Arabidopsis thaliana: one gene and its partners. The protein of the gene in region 1 interacts with the protein of each later gene in a biochemical or structural test. Each region holds a gene or a part of one and is shown in the gene's direction. Other genes may lie near its edges.

Evidence for each region.
Region 2: the proteins of TTL3 (region 1) and TCTP form a complex in vitro, tested with the Arabidopsis thaliana proteins (one study listed by BioGRID).
Region 3: the proteins of TTL3 (region 1) and RPT2 form a complex in vitro, tested with the Arabidopsis thaliana proteins (one study listed by BioGRID).
Region 4: the proteins of TTL3 (region 1) and AT1G12440 form a complex in vitro, tested with the Arabidopsis thaliana proteins (one study listed by BioGRID).

Annotation. Positions count from the first base shown.
Region 1 is NC_003071.7:17,726,738-17,732,391, forward strand, and holds TTL3 (tetratricopetide-repeat thioredoxin-like 3), read left to right. Parts: upstream 1-1,741; 5' UTR 1,742-2,117; coding exon 2,118-3,016; intron 3,017-3,103; coding exon 3,104-3,299; intron 3,300-3,379; coding exon 3,380-3,564; intron 3,565-3,652; coding exon 3,653-3,986; intron 3,987-4,067; coding exon 4,068-4,269; intron 4,270-4,352; coding exon 4,353-4,459; intron 4,460-4,571; coding exon 4,572-4,724; 3' UTR 4,725-5,099; downstream 5,100-5,654. Other genes in the region: GRF9 (general regulatory factor 9), read right to left, coding at 5,427-5,530. UniProt on the Arabidopsis thaliana protein: Involved in osmotic and salt stress tolerance. May play a role in the control of meristematic cell size during osmotic stress. May function as an adapter protein for BRL2 and may be required for signaling affecting leaf vascular tissue pattern formation.
Region 2 is NC_003074.8:5,668,810-5,672,599, reverse strand, and holds TCTP (translationally controlled tumor protein), read left to right. Parts: upstream 1-1,757; 5' UTR 1,758-1,870; coding exon 1,871-1,898; intron 1,899-2,227; coding exon 2,228-2,301; intron 2,302-2,393; coding exon 2,394-2,680; intron 2,681-2,773; coding exon 2,774-2,891; 3' UTR 2,892-3,283; downstream 3,284-3,790. Other genes in the region: AT3G16650 (Transducin/WD40 repeat-like superfamily protein), read right to left, coding at 181-246, 404-485, 751-853, 1,200-1,224, 1,337-1,467.
Region 3 is NC_003071.7:13,002,214-13,007,677, reverse strand, and holds RPT2 (Phototropic-responsive NPH3 family protein), read left to right. Parts: upstream 1-1,931; 5' UTR 1,932-2,104; coding exon 2,105-2,175; exon of another isoform or gene 2,176-2,258; coding exon 2,259-2,328; exon of another isoform or gene 2,329-2,521; coding exon 2,522-2,899; intron 2,900-3,495; coding exon 3,496-4,758; 3' UTR 4,759-4,951; downstream 4,952-5,464. UniProt on the Arabidopsis thaliana protein: May act as a substrate-specific adapter of an E3 ubiquitin-protein ligase complex (CUL3-RBX1-BTB) which mediates the ubiquitination and subsequent proteasomal degradation of target proteins.
Region 4 is NC_003070.9:4,240,876-4,245,148, reverse strand, and holds AT1G12440 (A20/AN1-like zinc finger family protein), read left to right. Parts: upstream 1-1,947; 5' UTR 1,948-2,341; exon of another isoform or gene 2,342-2,789; 5' UTR 2,790-2,826; coding exon 2,827-3,333; 3' UTR 3,334-3,728; downstream 3,729-4,273. Other genes in the region: AT1G12450 (SNARE associated Golgi protein family), read right to left, coding at 1-195, 393-653. UniProt on the Arabidopsis thaliana protein: May be involved in environmental stress response.

The DNA of each region.
Region 1 (5,654 bases):
CTTGGCGTTGGCGGGCTCGAGGTCAGTTTTCGAATAATCCGTCGGTGTTAACAGAATAATCCGTTATTGAAAAACTAAACGCCGTTAACGGAAACTGTGTGCTTAGCTGGCAGACACAGCAGAGAAGTCAATAACCAGCTGGCATGATCACCGTTTTGCAATTATCCCCATAATTACCGCAACACCCTTCTATTTTTTTATCCTTTTTTTTCTTTAATTAGTATTTACTATTTATTATCGTTATGTTCTTAATTATCCTATTATTGTTTTAAATATTTTTATATAGCGAAATAATTTATTTAAGAAAAAGTCAAGAGAAAATTAATTGACTATATATGGAAAATAATTTGAGGGTGCGAGGCATGACCTAGCTAGAGAAAAATAAAATAAAATGAAGGCATGCATGGTGCTTGGTTCAATGTAATTAGTGGTTCCGTAGGTCTGAACGGTACGGACTGGCCATGATCTACTAGAAACAGTAAATAGTTAATACAAAGTAATTAATTATGAGTTTCAGCAAATTAACTACTCTATATCGAATGAATTAAACAGTAATCCCCAGAAAAGAAAAAAAGAGAACTATGACAGCCTTTTCAAAGGACACCCGAAAACCAAAATGAAGATTTTAAAAATGCCAGCTCTGCAATAGATATTGAACTTTCATTTGTAATTTTCTTTATTTTTGTTGCATTACACACATTTGTTATTTACATTTAAATTGGCTATTGCAATAAAAGATTACTTTATATGCTTATAATAGTACAATATATATGGTGGCTTAAACAAAAGTTTGGCTGGCTTGATAAATACATCTTACATCGAATGACGATTTTACCCTCTATCTTGCTGTCTCTGAGTACGAGGGTTGAAATCCTTACGTGGCATTTTTTCTCATTTTTCTTGGTCAAATAGTTTAACCAAACTCCAAAAGTCTGTGATTTGTTGACATACTTCTAACTAATTTTTTTTTATAATAAAAATCTATTGTATCTGTAGAAATAATCATTAGATTTACTTTCTAGAATATAACTTCTTATTTCTTAGTAATTTGTCCAGATTTTTTTTTACAACTAACTAAACACTAGTTAAAATGTTAATGTCTAAAAAATACCATTACAATTATTCAATTTAATAAAAATTGAGTCGGCCAATTTAATGCGAGACTTCTGTACAACGACCCTAAAAGTGGGTTTGATAAATGAAACATATTGCAACAAAAAAATACTAGTAATAATGATAAAATAGTAACATGTCGTGGCGCATTGAATATCCTACGAAGGTTTAGTGTTTACTTTTAAAAAATCCTAATATGATACTAGTACATATAGCTAGCTTGCCTTGCTTATGCTATTGCATAGTCTGTATTAATAAATGATGTTATACATTTCGATAGAGTAACATTTTGGGAACATGAGTGAACGTGCTTGAATCTTCGTGCCCTTGACGTCAGAAGCTAGTAATTTTAAATACTAATTAACATTCATACAAATTAACAGATACAATGTACTATATCATAATTCGTTTCCGTAACACAACGCAACAATTTGAAAGTAGATGTACTTTAGTACTTAGTTAGTGTGCACCAAAAAAAAAAGATGTAGTTAGTTAGTAAGGGGTTAAATGTTTTAATTTATTAAGAAAACTTAAATTCATTAAATGTTAGAAAAAGTCTAATTAGTTTATATTCGAACACTGTGCTCAAAATTAAAAAGTCAACTATTTTAGACTATAGAGTTTATTAATTAATAATAAATTCGATAAATCACCGTATTATTTTCTTCAACGACAAGTAGCCGTGAAGACACGGGAGCGAAGAGAGATAAACAGAAGATGAAGAAGAAGATCAATGTCATAATCTTCAGGGAGATAAATCCGTAATCTTTATTAATCAAGGTTAATCCTTTTTTTTTTCTTCATCTTAATTCTTTGCGTCTTCCTTTTCTATTTATCACGAGATCTGTCTTTCTTTTTCCTCTTCTTTCTCTCTCTTCTCTCTGAAGACAGTACTTGTTTCTGTCCGGCGTTAAAAGCTTCGGTGGTGGTCTCTTGACTTCTCTGAGAAGAAGAAAAGGAAGCTGAGTCTCATTTTAGATTCAGCTCACGAGGAAGTGACGACGATGTCTCATTCTAGAAGACTTTCGTTGGAACCTGCTATAGATTCAATCACTGGTCGATTTCGTGATTTACAGAGAAATGATGATGACGTCAACAAACCTGATTTTCGAGAACTCGATCTAGGTTCTCCTGTTTCTACCTTAATGCCACGTGGCTCTGCTTCTTCTTCCGCTGCTGCGACTCCTACTAGCAGCTCTGGCTCTTCTGGCTCTGCTTCTGGTAAACCGTCGGTGAGTTCTCAGATGGCTAAACGGTTAGATGATGCTTACAAGAGTCATTCCGGTGAGCTTTCTAGCCCCGGATCCGGAATGCCGACCACGACCCGGATTCTTAAACCGGGTCATAGAAGATCTTCTTCTACTGGCACGCCTTTGATCTTCTCTGGCTCTAGCTTTACTTCAGCAACGAGTCACACCTCGCCACAAGGAGGTGGTAGCGGTGCTACGTCGGCAGTGTCTCCCAATACTGGCGTTTTACCGGCGGGAAATATTTGTCCGTCGGGTCGGATCTTGAAAACTGGAATGGCGTCTCGGACTTCAAGTAGGACTGAGACTCTATGCACAGGAACTGGTAATTACGGACATGGAAACGTTGTACGCAGCGGCGGAGGAGGAGGAACCAGCGGAAAGGCGGTGAGAGTGGCGGAGAATGGCGAAAACCCGGAGGAGTTGAAGAGAATGGGGAATGATATGTATAGGAGAGGGAGTTTCTCTGAAGCTCTGTCGCTTTATGACAGAGCAATTTTGATTTCACCGGGAAATGCAGCTTACAGAAGCAACCGTGCCGCGGCTTTAACGGCATTGAGGCGGTTAGGAGAAGCCGTTAAAGAATGTCTTGAAGCTGTTAGGATTGATCCTTCTTACTCCAGAGCTCACCAAAGACTTGCTTCTCTCTATCTCAGGTAATCTTGAGAGGCTTTTTGTTTTGTTGCTGTGTTTTTAGTTTAAAGATTGAGAATTTGAAATGATGGAGTGAATTGTTGCTTTAGATTGGGTGAAGCTGAGAATGCAAGACGTCACATTTGTTTTTCTGGTCAATGTCCGGATCAAGCTGATCTCCAACGGCTACAGACGCTGGAGAAGCATCTCCGACGATGCTGGGAGGCTCGAAAGATTGGAGATTGGAAAACCGCGATTAAGGAAACCGATGCAGCCATTGCAAACGGCGCTGATTCGTCTCCTCAGGTGATTACATATCATTGTCGTATGATATGCTTGTAAAGATTTTTGACTAACAGTGAGGTTTTTTCTATTGGTTTGGACAGCTTGTAGCTTGTAAAGCAGAAGCCTTTTTGCGTCTTAAGCAAATAGAGGATTCGGATTTTTGTGTATCTTGCATTCCAAGATTGGATCATCATTACCATTCTCAACCGCAGGTGAAACTCTTTGGTATGGTAGTTGAAGCTTATGTGCTCTGTATCCAAGCTCAAGTTGATATGGCATTAGGAAGGTGAGCTTTCGAAACTCAGAAATGTTGTGATTCTTTGGATTTTTGTTTCTCCACCGGTGAGTGAGTAGATATGATAGGTTTGTTGCAGATTTGAGAATGCGGTTGTCAAGGCAGAGAGAGCTGCGATGCTTGATCAAACCAATCCTGAGGTTGTATCAGTTTTAAACAATGTGAAGATGGTTGTGCGGGCACGTACTCGTGGTAATGAGCTATTTAGTTCGGGGAGATTCTCGGAAGCGTGTGTAGCTTATGGAGACGGTCTCAAGCAAGATGACTCCAATTCGGTTTTGTACTGCAACAGAGCAGCGTGTTGGTATAAGCTCGGTTTGTGGGAGAAATCTGTTGAAGATTGTAACCATGCGCTCAAAAGCCAGCCTAGTTACATCAAGGCACTTCTACGTAGGGCTGCTTCATATGGAAAGGTGAGATTAGAACTTACTATAATCAGTTATTGACAGAATTTTGCAGTGTATTCGAATGACAATGTGTGTTGAAATATATAGCTTGGTAGGTGGGAGGATGCGGTTAAAGATTATGAGTTCTTGAGAAGAGAACTTCCAGGAGACAGTGAAGTTGCAGAGTCTCTAGAGAGAGCGAAAACAGTGCTAATGAACAGAAGCCAAGAATCTAAAAGCCTAGGTTTCAATAATGAAGTTGAAGCGGTTTCGACTTTGGATAAGTTCAAGAAATCCGTAGCACTTCCCGGTAAGTCTAATGAGAAACTTCAATTTGTCTCAAAAGGTTGAGATTTTGCGTGTCTTGCTCAAGTTGGAAACATTTCTCTTCAGGTGTCTCTGTATTTCATTTCAAATCATCATCAAACCGACAATGCGAAGAAATTTCTCCATTCATCAACACTTTATGTCTTCGGTATCCATTAGTACATTTCTTTATGGTAAGAACAAGAACACATTCCAAATATGCTTTTTATATCACATTTTCTTCTAAACTTATATGTATAACCTATGTTTCTCAATGTGTTAACTGAGAAAATGAAATGTTATTAGGTGGATGTGGAGGAGAGCATGGCGTTGGCGAAAGCAGAGAGTATCAGGAAAGTTCCGACATTTAAGATGTACAAGAATGGAGATAAAGTGAAGGAGATGGTTTGTCCTAGCCATCAGTTTCTAGAGGACTCTATAAAGCATTTCCTCTTATGATTGAAAAAGCCCTATCATCATTATCTGCTTCCCTATGATTCGATCCGAATAGCCTATTTAAAAGACTCAGAAAGCATTCTATGTGAAAGATGGGAAAGAGCTCTTCTGTCAAATTCAACAAACTATTCATTCTTTCTTCTTATTCGATTCTAATTCTTCTTTATTTATTTTTTGGAGTTTGGCTCTGCTTGCTTTGGCATATTACGTATGGGTAAATGTTCGCAATGATTCAAGAAATGCAAGCTTCATTATCTATTTACGCTTGGCTTGTGTATGCTAGATTATTCACCACACCAGTGAAAGAAACTGAACAGAGTTTACTGTATTTGGTGTTGTTGATTCAATCAGTGACAGAATATGAATCAGAGAGTACCGAATCCAATCAGCTTCTATCTCAGCAATTCAGAAATGAAGGAATATAAGTTTCAAGATTGGATCCATAAGGATAGATAGTAAGACGACAGTAGTGAATTACAAATAAGAGTGTCCTGAGACAGGCATGCAATACATTCAAACCAGAGAGACATTTAGGGCTAAACCAGAGTACAAGTAACATAGACAATCATGATATAGGGAACAGAGAAACTCTACTTTTCACTATTATTCACCGCACATTCAGTTCTTGAAACATATTGTCCAGGTGCACACATATCATATCACTGCAACATAAGCAAAGAAATCTTGAATCAAAATCGGCTTATTTTAATTTGATTTACCCCGAGTAAAGGAATCTCTTATACTTACCTCTGCATCGTCTCCACCAGCACCAGGTTTGGCAGAACCATTCGTCTTATGAGCATCGTCTCCTGCACACAAATGCAAAATTAACAGTTGAAGTCCAAGTGAAAATATATATTGATAAAAACTGGCAATCGTCTTCCAGATGCTATTTCAACTATCTATCATCAAGAATGTCCATGGATATGCTTA
Region 2 (3,790 bases), on another chromosome or scaffold:
CTGAAGCATTGATACAAGTTAGATGCATTTCAGGTTAAATAAATATGGCCAAATTTAAATTTCATGACTCTGAACCACCAATTCACCTTAGTGCGGCTTTATGTACCACCTAGGTATCGCAATCTAGATGTAGTGTCGTTATAGAGAGTCCATAAAAGTAGATAAGGATGCGACACAAACCTTTCGGAAAATGATCCAGGTGCAGGAAGAATGGCCGTGCTTTTGCCTGGATTACCAGTATTGTTCCTTCAATTCAAGAATCAATAATTATCAGTATCAATCAGCACGATAAGTAGAGCATCAATCACAAAGACAAAACAGGAATAACATTCTTGAGAATGTCGTAAATTATTTATACTAACTATATGGACTAGTCACATTCCAAATGAAAATGTATACTCACAAGTCTCTTGGCGGTAAAGTTGGACCAACAACTAAAGCTTTCTCTGTTGCGCTTTTTCGAAGTTCCTTGGACCCTTTTGGACCTGCGGAGAAAATAATTTGGTCTTTCAGAACGAGAAACAATAGTCATGAAAAAGGCTAAAAGATTACACTAACAGCGTTTTTAGTGCAGCAGAAGTTTGTTTGAAAAGATACTCTTAAGAGGATACATTACTGAAACTTGTTTTCCAATCCTAATTATAGACATATATGAATGAAACTCACAACTAATATAAATAGATATCAGGGAAACTAGAAAATAGGAAACTAGTTTTGTCTCACAACAGGAAAAACAGATAAAAGAACTACCTGGAAGCGCAAGGGCTTTCAATGGAGCCGTCTTTTCACTGTTATGGTCAGCAATACGTGTAGGCTTACTTGCAGGTTCTACGCCTCCAAATGCAACTTGAATCTATACAAGTAACGTCCAAGTCATTAACTTTTATATTCTACTTGATGTTCACTAAAACGCTTGATGCAAACTAAACATCTTACTATAAAGATGAGGGTAATATGCTAGAAAGCAAACTCAAACAATAGTAGCTGATGAGAAGAATCTAACTCCAGATAAAAGGTAAACTATAAAAGTGATAAGCCATTGACTGTTCGATTTACACCTTATAAAATTTTCTCAGGTTCAACGTCTCTGAAGCTTGCTATAAAGCTATCCATTATCAAACTCAAAACAAAGAAGAAGCGAACAAAATTTTCAACACGATCAAAGATAAAATTTAAAAAATATTCGAAAACCCCCTTACCTTATGGCAGAGCCGAATTCTTTTGCTGCGAGACAAGAACAAAAACAGACAAGAAGAAGAAATCGTCAATACACATAAAAATTCTGAGAAATTTCGAGAAAAAAAAGTGGACATTGCAAGCGAAACTGTTGATTAACCTTTCAGGATCAGGCTGAGGAAATTGGCCATGGACGGGGGAGAAAATTTCACGAGCTCGTCTAACAGATTTTAGACTGAGTTTTTTCAGTGACTGAGTTTCGACCTCCCTGTTCAAAGCTATCATCGTCATTCTAGGGTTTTACACGAACAATCAGAAACAGAACGAGAAAGACGGAAGAGAAGAGAGGGAAATAGGATTTTATCCGACCCGAACACTATTTATACGTAGCCCAACACTCGAATCCCCACCCGTTGGACCAAACCCGGCTCATTAAGCGTCGGTTCAGATTTATTTCCTTTATTTAAAAAAAAGGAAAGGGTAAAAAATAGAAAATTGGAAACAGTTAAAGCCCAAAATTGTAATTTACCGAGAATTGTAAATTTACCTGAAAACCCTACGCTATAGTTTCGACTATAAATACCAAACTTAGGACCTCACTTCAGAATCCCCTCGTCGCTGCGTCTCTCTCCCGCAACCTTCGATTTTCGTTTATTCGCATCCATCGGAGAGAGAAAACAATCAATAAGCGACCATGTTGGTGTACCAAGATCTTCTCACCGGTAAGCTCAATAATTCCTTAATCTCGGTATGAACTGTGTAGCTATCGATCTTTTTCTTCCGATCGGAATAAATCATGTTATCGAATTGTTAGATCTGTCATCGCATCATAGGTTTTTCGTTGATTTGCTGCTCTTTGCATTGATAATTCAAATCTTAGGGGATTAGTTTATGTGATTTGGTTAGATCTGTGATTCATTAGTATATAAACGTCCTTTAATTGAGCTTACCGATTCGTTGTAGATTGGATTTTAGGGTTTATTCGCTTGTATCGATTAATGTTTGGGATCTTATGAGTAATGACTAAAGAGTCTGGGCTATTGATTTACAGGTGATGAGCTTCTGTCTGACTCTTTCCCTTACAAGGAGATTGAGAATGGAATCCTCTGGGAAGTAGAAGGAAAGGTCAGTGTCATCGATTCTACTTCAAGTTTTGTTTTGATTTTGTTAAATTTTTGTTTTCCTGTTCTGAATTGGGTTTTGATTTTGTTATCCAGTGGGTTACTGTGGGAGCTGTAGATGTTAACATTGGTGCCAATCCATCTGCTGAAGAAGGTGGTGAGGATGAAGGTGTTGATGACTCTACTCAAAAGGTTGTTGACATTGTCGACACCTTCAGACTTCAGGAGCAACCAACTTATGACAAGAAGGGATTCATCGCTTACATTAAGAAATACATTAAGCTTTTGACACCCAAGCTCAGCGAAGAAGATCAAGCTGTCTTCAAGAAGGGTATTGAGGGAGCTACCAAGTTTTTGCTCCCCAGGCTCAGTGACTTCCAATTGTAAGTTACCCCAATCTATCGTATCTTGCTTGTTATACATGACATATATTTCATCTGAAATCTCATCAATGCTTGTGTTGTCTGATTTTACAGCTTTGTTGGGGAGGGTATGCATGATGACAGCACTTTGGTCTTTGCTTACTACAAGGAGGGTTCAACTAACCCAACATTTTTGTACTTCGCTCATGGTTTGAAGGAGGTCAAGTGCTGAGAGAGAAGCTCTCGTTGGGTTACTGTGGTCGGTCGCAGCGACTCTCTAAGTTTATGTTTCTTTATATTGTCCTGTGTTTCGTCGTCGTCCCCTATTAAAATTACCTGCCAGTTTACTTTTCTCTCTTCTTGTTTTCTGTGTTGGAAGATTCTCAAGTTATTTATTCCGCAAAAAACGGTTTATCATTTACAATTAGTTGAATTTTGGTCGTTACTTTTTGTGTTATTTGGTGTGATATCTCTTCAGCTTTGCTTTTCTAAATTAAACTCCCGAATCTCGAGGCATGTTTATAGTAGATGTCTAATAATTTTGGATTCAGATCTTATGGACGTGAATAAACGAGTGGGTTACTCTAACTGTTAGTAACTTTAAATCATGGAATATGCTGTAGAATGATTCTTTTGACTTTAGTCTAATGGTGTTTTATCCCTTTAAAAAGAAAAAGTTTCGTACAGACATGATGTCTTGAGACATCATCATAGGCATGTTCTGCTCCTTATCAAGGATTTCTATCTCACGTGCGGAATCGATACTAACTAGAGTTCTGTCATCTTGGTTTTAGTTGTGAGACAAATCACAATGTGGCCGTAATAATAATGTATTATGTGTATTCTTTTACTTTGACAAACAACACAACCTATCCTATGCTTTACTATTCTTTTAGTTTGTTGGTTTTATTATTCGAACTATTTATTTATGTATGTGTGGTGTCCGTATGGATGAGAGGGCAACCAAAATGCGTTGGTACGTATTTGTGTCTCACGTAAAAGGAAACGTGATTTGGTCTTGGTCGGTTTGACGTTGCTCCAACTCTCTTGTATCTTATGTATTTATCGTCATTATTTCTTCAAACTTTGTTGTTCCTTTCGTTTTAGGCTTTTAGCCTACACTATTTAAAC
Region 3 (5,464 bases), 4.7 Mb from region 1:
ATATTAGGTAAAAAATTTTGAGTTTTTTTTGCATTTTACTAAATGTATATCATGGATATGATCTGACTAGAATTAGCTCCAATGCCTTTTTTGAATTCAGGTGTGTAGAAATTGCATATCCTTAATCAGAAAATAGCATTTTGGTTCTACTTACCGAATCAAACCAAAATAAACCACAATCCTATATGTCAATCCTCTGGATGTAATTAACCATTATGATCGAAATTGTTGATTGAAACTAGACGGCAATACAGCTCAGGGTATTTGTACTTTTGTTAATAGATTGATAGCACCATCCTCTTATGGTCCAACCTATTTCCTAACATGAATTTTTCATCTGAATAATTTAGACTTGTATTAAGACCTTGCCTTAGCACCTTTTTACAAAATTTAATTATTATTCTCTCTGAATTAATGAAATTTATATGTATATCGCCTACTCATGATCTAGTGGACATCTACTGTTTAGCTAATTCAATATTTTACATTCGGATATTGTGTTTTGATGCAAAACCAATTACAAAAAAGAAATCTAGGGTTTGGAAGTTTTTGCATTAAGATTTAAACAAAAAGTTAAACACCTCACAAAATTTATCACGATACTAAAATAATTTTCTTATCAAATCACATGTTACTATGTCAGCCGGAGAAAAAAGACTCACATGACATATTATCACATCGATTCACAGAAACTTACATCAAAATAGAAAAATCACGAAAACTGGTAAGGGTTTTTAACTTTTTATGAAGACCCATTTTGTGAATCTTCACATTCAAACTACAAATAGTCTTATAAAACTAGTCGCACCGGCAGAAAATTATTAGGGCAACTAGGCAATGTAAGAGACGTGAGATATCTTTAAAGACGATAGGAACACGTGTATAAACATGATTGGAAGACAAAACTGAAACTGGATTCTGATGGATGATTTGACGACGTAGCTAAGCCAAACACCACGAGGTTCTAAGATGAAGCACGACCACATATTTGGGGTGGGCCTTATCTATGACATGTTCCTACTTCCCTAACTTCCATGGTCCTACTTCTCTCTAATCGTACATCCACTTTTAATTTCGTTTCTTATCTGTCAATTATTCACATGCGTTGCTTTTTTTTCTATATTCATAGCATTGTCTTCCTTTAATTCAGAATTTTTAGGCTTTTAGCATGTGAAACTTTAATTTTGCTATCATATTCTCATTAACCAAACCAAAAAGTAAGATTGTTTTTTTCTTTTTGAATGAGCCACTCTACAAATTGTTGCCAACAACCAAATATATGAATGATGATTGGTTCTCACTAATCATTATACTTTATAAAATTTTCTAATCATCACCATATGCATGTTATGAAATCAAGAATTTAGATCCGTTCTGTACTTCTGGTCTGTCACACACTCACACTTTGTCCCGGCTTCTATGTCCTTGTACGATGAGATTGCTTACACATAGCAGCTTTATGATAAGAAAGATTTTCATGTTCGTCATATTACTATAATCATTGTTATCCTGCATGTTTTTTGTAGTCTTTTAACCTTGAATATCACTGTAACATTTACTAAAATAATAGTTGATAATTTGAATGTAGTTAGCCAAATATCAATTAGTAAACGTTCACTTTTCTTTTAATTTTAATTTTAATGATAAATAAATACATTTACTAAATAAAAGCGTAGTAAAGCATGTTACTTACAGAGATATGTTTATTAATGTTATCTACAAATCACCAAGATCGAGATCTCTGTTAGTCTATTATCAAAAAGTTGGTGAAACATATATCGGTATATATGTGGAAGGTCTAAATTACATAAAATAGCCGTCGATACAAGTACATATCCAAATAGGGAAAAGTTAAAAGGAAATGGTGAAAAGGAAAGTAAACGACGAAGACAAACACAAGGATTAGAGTGAGTTAACTAAAAGAGATAATAAACACATCAGAAAACGACAAATAAAAACTTAGAAAAATAAGATAGAAGAAGCCAATCACAAATATTATTACATTAGCAATTGGGTGGATTGGGGGGACCCATGCTAAAGAAATTTCAATATATAGACACTCTCCAATTATGCTTCCATCTCCTTCAATAGAGAACCAAAAAAAATGGCAACAGAAGGAAAAAACCCCATCAACATGAACTCTATGTCTTCAAGTCTTGCAAGAACCGGTCAATGGTACGAATCAGTCTAGTTTCACCAATAGAGTCTCCCGGCGCGAATCATCAGAAATTTTAACATGTATATATGTAACTTTGTAGGGTTTTTTCTCAAGATATTCCGACCGATGTTGTTGTTGAAGTCGGAGAAGCCAATTTCTCTCTTCATAAGGTAAGCAACAACTCTTAATTCTTGGTTCACAACATTTTTCAATACAAAAAAGGATTATTTATTTTTCATATACTCATGAACTAGGCTTGAATAGAGTAATAATAGGATGGCGAGATTAGTACAAACCATTAGCTTACATGTTTTTAATTACACAAAATTTTAACTATAATTTTTCATGATTGTATATATATAGTTCATGTTAGTGGCTAAGAGTAACTACATAAGGAAGCTAATAATGGAATCCAAAGATAGCGACGTGACAAGAATCAATCTCTCGGATATACCCGGAGGTCCTGAGATATTTGAGAAAGCTGCCAAGTTCTGTTACGGTGTTAACTTCGAGATCACCGTTCAGAACGTGGCGGCTCTTCATTGCGCAGCCGAGTTTCTTCAGATGACCGATAAGTACTGCGACAACAACCTTGCTGGTCGGACACAAGACTTCCTTTCTCAAGTAGCTCTCTCTAGCCTCTCTGGAGCTATCGTTGTCCTCAAGTCTTGCGAGATTCTCCTTCCTATTTCTCGTGATCTTGGTATTGTCCGCCGTTGTGTCGACGTCGTCGGTGCTAAGGTATTATTTTACTCAGAACTCATTCTCACTTCTTTGTAAGTGTTGGATCTCCATTTTGGCTAGTGTTTATGTTTTTCTTTTCTACCTATGTAGTAGTAACTGCAATAACCCAATCTAGTAAGTTAGTACAGTTTTAGGTATGTTTTTCAATAAATGGCAAGAATATCTGGTTTAGTTATTCCATAGGTTTCAAATACAGTAATAGTTTGAAATTGATTTTAAAATTTCATCTATCAATTTTCCTAAGAAAAATCAGTTTGAGACCATTGTTCTTCACTTCTTTTGTTCTAGTGTTTATTATTAAAAACAAAAATCTATTTTAATATTAAAGTTTAGATCTATGATTACTGTTGTCAGACTATGATTGCGATTTAGATTCGATAGGAATATTTCATATTTAATTCGGTTTGGTTTCCGAATCTTAAATTGAGCAAATCATACTTCTACCCTATTCCAGTTCCGTGAGACTCAAGTATAATATCTATGTAATGCAAAATGAATTACGAGTTTAATATTTTAACATCCATGAATTTTTGTAATGCTTGGTTACAGTATCTGATACGTTTTTTATATCTATTTCTTTTGATATTTGAAAGGCTTGCAACGAGGCAATGTTTCCATGTCGAACACCACCAAATTGGTGGACAGAGGAACTCTGTATCTTAGACGTCGACTTCTTCTCCGATGTCGTATCTTCAATGAAGCAGAGAGGTGTCAAACCTTCTTCCTTAGCCTCTGCAATCATCACCTACACAGAGAAATCCTTAAGAGATCTCGTCAGAGACCATTCAGGCAGAGGAGTCAAATATTCCGATCCCGGAGATAACGAATCCGACGAAAGATCCCAACAGAGAGATCTTGTTCAATCTATCGTCTCTCTTTTACCTTCAGACAAAGGGCTGTTCCCAGTCAATTTCCTCTGTTCTCTCCTCCGTTGCGCGGTCTTCTTAGACACTTCCTTGACCTGCAAGAACGAGCTCGAGAAGCGAATCTCAGTCGTTCTAGAACACGTCTCCGTCGACGATCTTTTGATCCCGTCTTTCACCTACGACGGCGAACGGTTACTAGATCTCGATAGTGTCAGAAGAATCATCTCTGCTTTCGTGGAAAAAGAGAAAAACGTTGGTGTTTTCAACGGTGGAGACTTCAACAGAGGAGTCTGCTCTGTTTCACTACAAAGAGTAGCTAAAACAGTTGATTCTTACTTAGCGGAGATCGCTACTTACGGAGACCTAACAATCTCCAAATTCAACGCGATTGCGAATCTTGTCCCGAAATCCGCTAGAAAATCAGACGACGATCTCTACAGAGCTATAGACATCTTCTTGAAAGCTCATCCGAATCTAGACGAGATCGAAAGGGAAAAAGTGTGTAGCTCAATGGATCCCTTAAAGCTTTCTTACGACGCACGTCTTCACGCTTCACAGAACAAGAGATTACCAGTAAACATTGTTCTTCACGCTCTTTACTACGATCAGTTAAAGCTAAGAAGTGGAGTCGCAGAACAAGAAGAAAGAGCAGTAGTTGTTCTCCCTGAAGCTTTAAAGACACGTAGCCAACTGCAAGCTGATACTACGTTAGCTAAAGAAAACGAAGCGTTGAGAAGTGAGCTGATGAAGATGAAAATGTATGTTTCGGATATGCAGAAGAATAAGAACGGTGCAGGAGCTTCTTCTTCGAATTCGTCGTCGTTGGTGAGTAGTAAGAAGAGCAAACATACTTTCTTCTCTTCTGTTTCCAAGAAACTTGGGAAGTTAAATCCGTTTAAAAATGGGTCTAAGGATACTTCGCACATAGATGAAGATCTTGGAGGTGTTGACATTACTAAGCCAAGGAGACGAAGATTCTCAATCTCTTAAAAGAAAACGTTTGATCTAAGTGCTTTTGTGTGTTGTGTATAACTCTTTTAGACTAGTGTGCTTATTGTTCCCTTCTTGATGCGTGATTTTTTTTTTTGGGTGTGTGTGTTTATTGTTTAATGAGCTTGGTTAATAAAATGAAAATCGAAACCAGATTGATTTACTAATTTTTTGTATTAATTAGCAATCTCATAAAAGATGATCTTTAGTTGGTTAATAAACCGTTAATTAAAGAGGATAATTAGCGGTAGACGTACTAAGCCCAATAGTATTTTAATTTAAGCCCATTAAGGCCCAACATTGAAGTTCCTTATGCCCGCAAATTCTGTTTCTCTTCCGGCGACGATCAAATCGAAACAAGTGATACACCGGCAACGACAACTGTTCGCCGTTGATTTCCACCGAATACCTGACTATCTGCGCTGCGACGGCAAGAAATTGAAAATTATGGCTTACGGTTAGTCAAATTTTCAATTTTTATGTTGGGGATATTCATGAGTAAAGATAGATTCATAAAGGTCTAGTCTTTTTGGGATCTGATAGAATTCAAAGTGAGAAGTCGTTTGGTAGACTAGTGTAGGCAAATTCGGTGAATGTGATATAAGCTTGTTACAGGAAAAATGGGAACTTGCTATATTTAGAACATTTGAAATTTAGGTTTTTGTATGACATAGGATCCAACAATAGATTAACGAATGATAACTGT
Region 4 (4,273 bases), on another chromosome or scaffold:
AGTAACACCGATGGAAGCAGCTGATAAAATCAGAAGAAACCCTTTTCCATAACCAAATGTAAGACCAGCCATCCACATGGAAGGGGAAGAAGGAAGAAGAATGCTTGGAAACAATGCCACTGAGGCAAATAGTAGAAGACCGAGAACCGGTATGCTGAATGTGTTTCTCACCCAATTTATAAATGGAATCAGCTCCTGAAACAAATCACACCAACATTAATGATGATAAATGAATAACCTTCCTTATAAACACATACTCATACATGTAATTCAAGAACCCTAATTTTCAACAATTAAAAACCCAGCAGAAACCAGAATCATTATGCATACCCTAATCCAATCAAATGTAACCAATAAGCATCAGATCTTCGAGAGACAAAAAAAAAACGAACCTTTTCAATCAAAAAGGGACCAACCCATTTGATGATAACAAAGGCCAATGAACCCAAACAAACGACCAAGGAGATCAATTTCACCCAGAACCAGACAGAAGTAACCGATCCTATCGGACATCTCGATGATTCCGCCGATGATCCTTCATCTTCTTCATTTGATCCTCCTCTCAATTTCAGATAATCACCATTATCGGAATCTTCTTCGACTCTCAATTTCAGCTCAGGCACCGTCCCATCGACGCCATTGCTGTACGTCATAGATCGATGCGAAGATAAAACCAAAAAAAGTGAATCCTTTTGGCTCTAAAAAAAATATCTCAAAAGTTTCCGTCAGAATCGTTATGCACCTCTGTTTGTTTTCCTTCGGTTTCTCGAGAAAATTAAACCGTTAGATCAAATGTTGTGTTGATCGGAGAGAGCGAATGGGGTTAGAAGAAAGAATCTTTATTATTCGTTTCCGTTCTTAGCTTTAAAAACTTTTAAAAAATGATATCCTTATAATTAGGTGGTTTAGTTTCAACTTATTAAACCGGTGTCGTAGTCAAACATGTGGAGACATATGAGTGGCTAATAGCTGTTGCTCCGTCACGAACCACCGATAAATGTGTAAGCAGAGTTGCTTTAGACCGGCGCTTTATTTTCGCTTTGCCGTTACGGTGCGTACATACATCGTACTGACAGAAGAAATACGTAACATATTTAATTATTGAAATTTAGTTGCTTGAAGGCAATTTATATATATTACGGAGCATAACATAAAAGAAAACGAGAGGATCGAACAAGAGAATGAAACGCAACCAAAGTTGATACTTGTAAGCAAAATATAAGAACAAGACTCCCTGTAAAAATGAACATATCGATAGATGATATATAGATTAGATAGCTACGTTTTGAAGTATTAATACCATACCAAAGAGGAGCATAAGAACTAAGAAGCTTATGGACCCTATAAACAATTCACAAACTATATCAAATTTAATTTGGTTGTGGACCTTATGGTCAGTATTGGATCCAAAAAAAAGGATGCAGTCGCGAGTGAGAGTCGCTTGCTAATATAACGTCTTGAATGATAGCGTTCGATGATTTTGGATTTCGATTAGTCGTTTCCAAACCAGATAAATGGAAATTGAATTAGTCTCGATTTTAAGGACAAGCATAAACAAATTATAGCTCAAGATTAGATATAGTGGTGTCCAAAACACTTTACGTAAATTAAAACGATTTAGTCATGTTGATATTTGCAAGTAAACTCAGTGAGAAAAGACCTGACCACTTTTAAAATCCGGTCGTTTTAGCGAAGAAAAGAAAGAGATAATTGAAAAGGCCCAAGGAAGAAAGAGTACATTTGGAACAACATATCATCACATTCCGATCAAATCAAAAGAGCGATGGACTAATCGCGTCGGGACAAACGCGCCACCTTTTTTCTTTATCCTACTGTTACGTCACCGTCCAACCAGCTAAGCATGTCCCCACAAACCAAACCCGGTTCATATAAAACCGATTATCTTCACGAACTCGAACCAACTTTATCGTAATCCACAAACACCATAAAAAGTTGATAACCCCACCCATTTTATATCCACTTTATCTCATCAAAAAACTTCCAATCACCACCGTTGGATTAGTAAACAATGGCGTCATCACTCTCCGATTGTTTCATCGAACGAATATTATCAGGGATGTATTAAATCTTCCGTGCGCCTTACCGCATATGAATAAACCATTTGACCACAAAGACAAATGCAAAAGAACTAAAAGAGTCTGGTTTCTGTTCTGTCCTAATTTCTCTCTGGCGAAAGCTAAGAGGTTTCGGTTACGGTCTCCATCTCCGATCAAATCACGAAGTTTCTATCGGAAATTTTCAGTGATACATACCGTCAGAGATTTTCTTTACGAGAGAATTGTCGCCGACATACTAAAGCAGAGTTTTGGGTGGGAATTAGGTAAATATCTTATTGGTTTTGTTCTGTGCCGATATGCAGATTTGTGTTCTTCGTTTGAATCCTTCATCTATTCTTGAACCATTCGATTTAAGTTTTTGACGGCGAAGATTAAACAACTCTTATCTATCTCTTTTTTGTCCTTTTTTGCGCCGGAAGGGTAAAGTGGTCTTTGTGAGATAGACGCTGACCTGGTCTTAAGTGTTGACAAATGACGCATTTACTCTTCGACTTTATAAAGAGTTCCAAGGGTATTTTAGTCATAAATGAGAAATAATTTTAGTCTTTCTCGCTTGAGAAACAAGCCAAGAATCTCCGTTTTCTAAATCTTTCGATATTGTCAATTTCCCTTTATTTTCTCGACGGAATCATAAATAAAAACCCTAAACCTAAAGTCACAAATTCATTCTTCATCTGTTATTCACGATTTGTGTTGTCTTTTCTTTTGCAGTAAGATTTCGACTTTGGAATTGGGAGATCTTTCCATTATGGGTTCTGAGCAAAACGACAGCACAAGCTTCTCTCCTTCAGAGCCAAAGCTCTGCGTCAAAGGATGTGGCTTCTTCGGATCTCCATCGAACATGAACCTCTGCTCTAAATGCTACAGAGACATCCGAGCCACGGAGGAACAAACCGCTTCCGCTAAAGCCGCCGTCGAGAAATCTCTAAACCCTAATAAACCCAAAACTCAACCACAACAGAGCCAAGAAATCACTCAAGGCGTCCTCGGATCTGGATCGTCTTCCTCATCAACGAGAGGGGGTGATTCGGCTGCTGCTCCGTTGGATCCACCGAAATCGACGGCTACGAGATGCTTGAGCTGTAACAAGAAAGTTGGCGTGACGGGTTTCAAGTGTAGGTGTGGAAGCACTTTCTGTGGAACTCATAGATATCCAGAGAGTCACGAGTGCCAATTCGATTTCAAAGGAGTTGCGAGAGAAGCTATTGCTAAAGCTAATCCTGTGGTGAAGGCTGATAAGGTTGATAGGATATGAATTGGTGAAGAAACTGTTGTGTTCTCTTTTGTTTTTTTATTTTCAAGTCTCGTGATGTTGGTGGTTTGGCTCTCTGTTTTCTGCTCTTATTATGGTTTTATTTGCTTTTAGGGTTTCTTAGGAAAGGCCTTAGATTCTGCTATTATGTGGTTTCATGTTTTGCAACATTGGATTTGTTGTTCTGTAATAAAGTGTTGGTTATATTATGAAATTGTGTTCTTATTGGTACCAGCTTACTTCTTCTTACTTGGAGAAGTTGAATTGTTTGCAGATATAGGATTCTCTTGGTTATGAGGCTTATGAACTAGTTGGGGGTCGTAAATAGCTTATGGTGGATAAAAGTGTGTAGCTTGATAGTTCTGAAACTAAAGATGTCGTATAGAGCTTATGGTGGATTCCCCTGGTTTGTTTATAGTGGACGAACAAGTTGGGGTTTGTATATAGCATTATAGCTTATGGTGGATAAAGTATGTAGCTTGAAATTTCTGAAGCTGAAGATGTTGTTCAGGGTATCTTTATCGAGTCATGGAAGATTTAGATGTGTCTTTAGTTTAGGTGTTAAGTGTCCTTGATTGAATGAGTCATTGATTTTGCTTTCTCTGTCTTAGCTGGAGAAAGTAGTGTTCTTCTTACCTGGACAAAGTTTGATTCACTTAAGAGTTGTGGGACTTAGAGTAAGTGGAGTTTTTATATAGCTTATGGTGGATCCAATGAAGTAGTCAAAGTAGTTTACCTATATCGAACCATGGCAGATTAAGAGATGTTTAGGTGATAGTGCCCAGTGATTGAACGAAATCAGTGATTTTTGCCTGGTAGTGGCAGTATGCTTTGATAGCTTAAGAAACTTTAAAGACTTGAGGCTCGGTTTTGGCCATGATCGATTTGTTTGAACTAGTTGGGATATTCGGTGTTGTAGTCGATGACTGTAGATTGAATACAT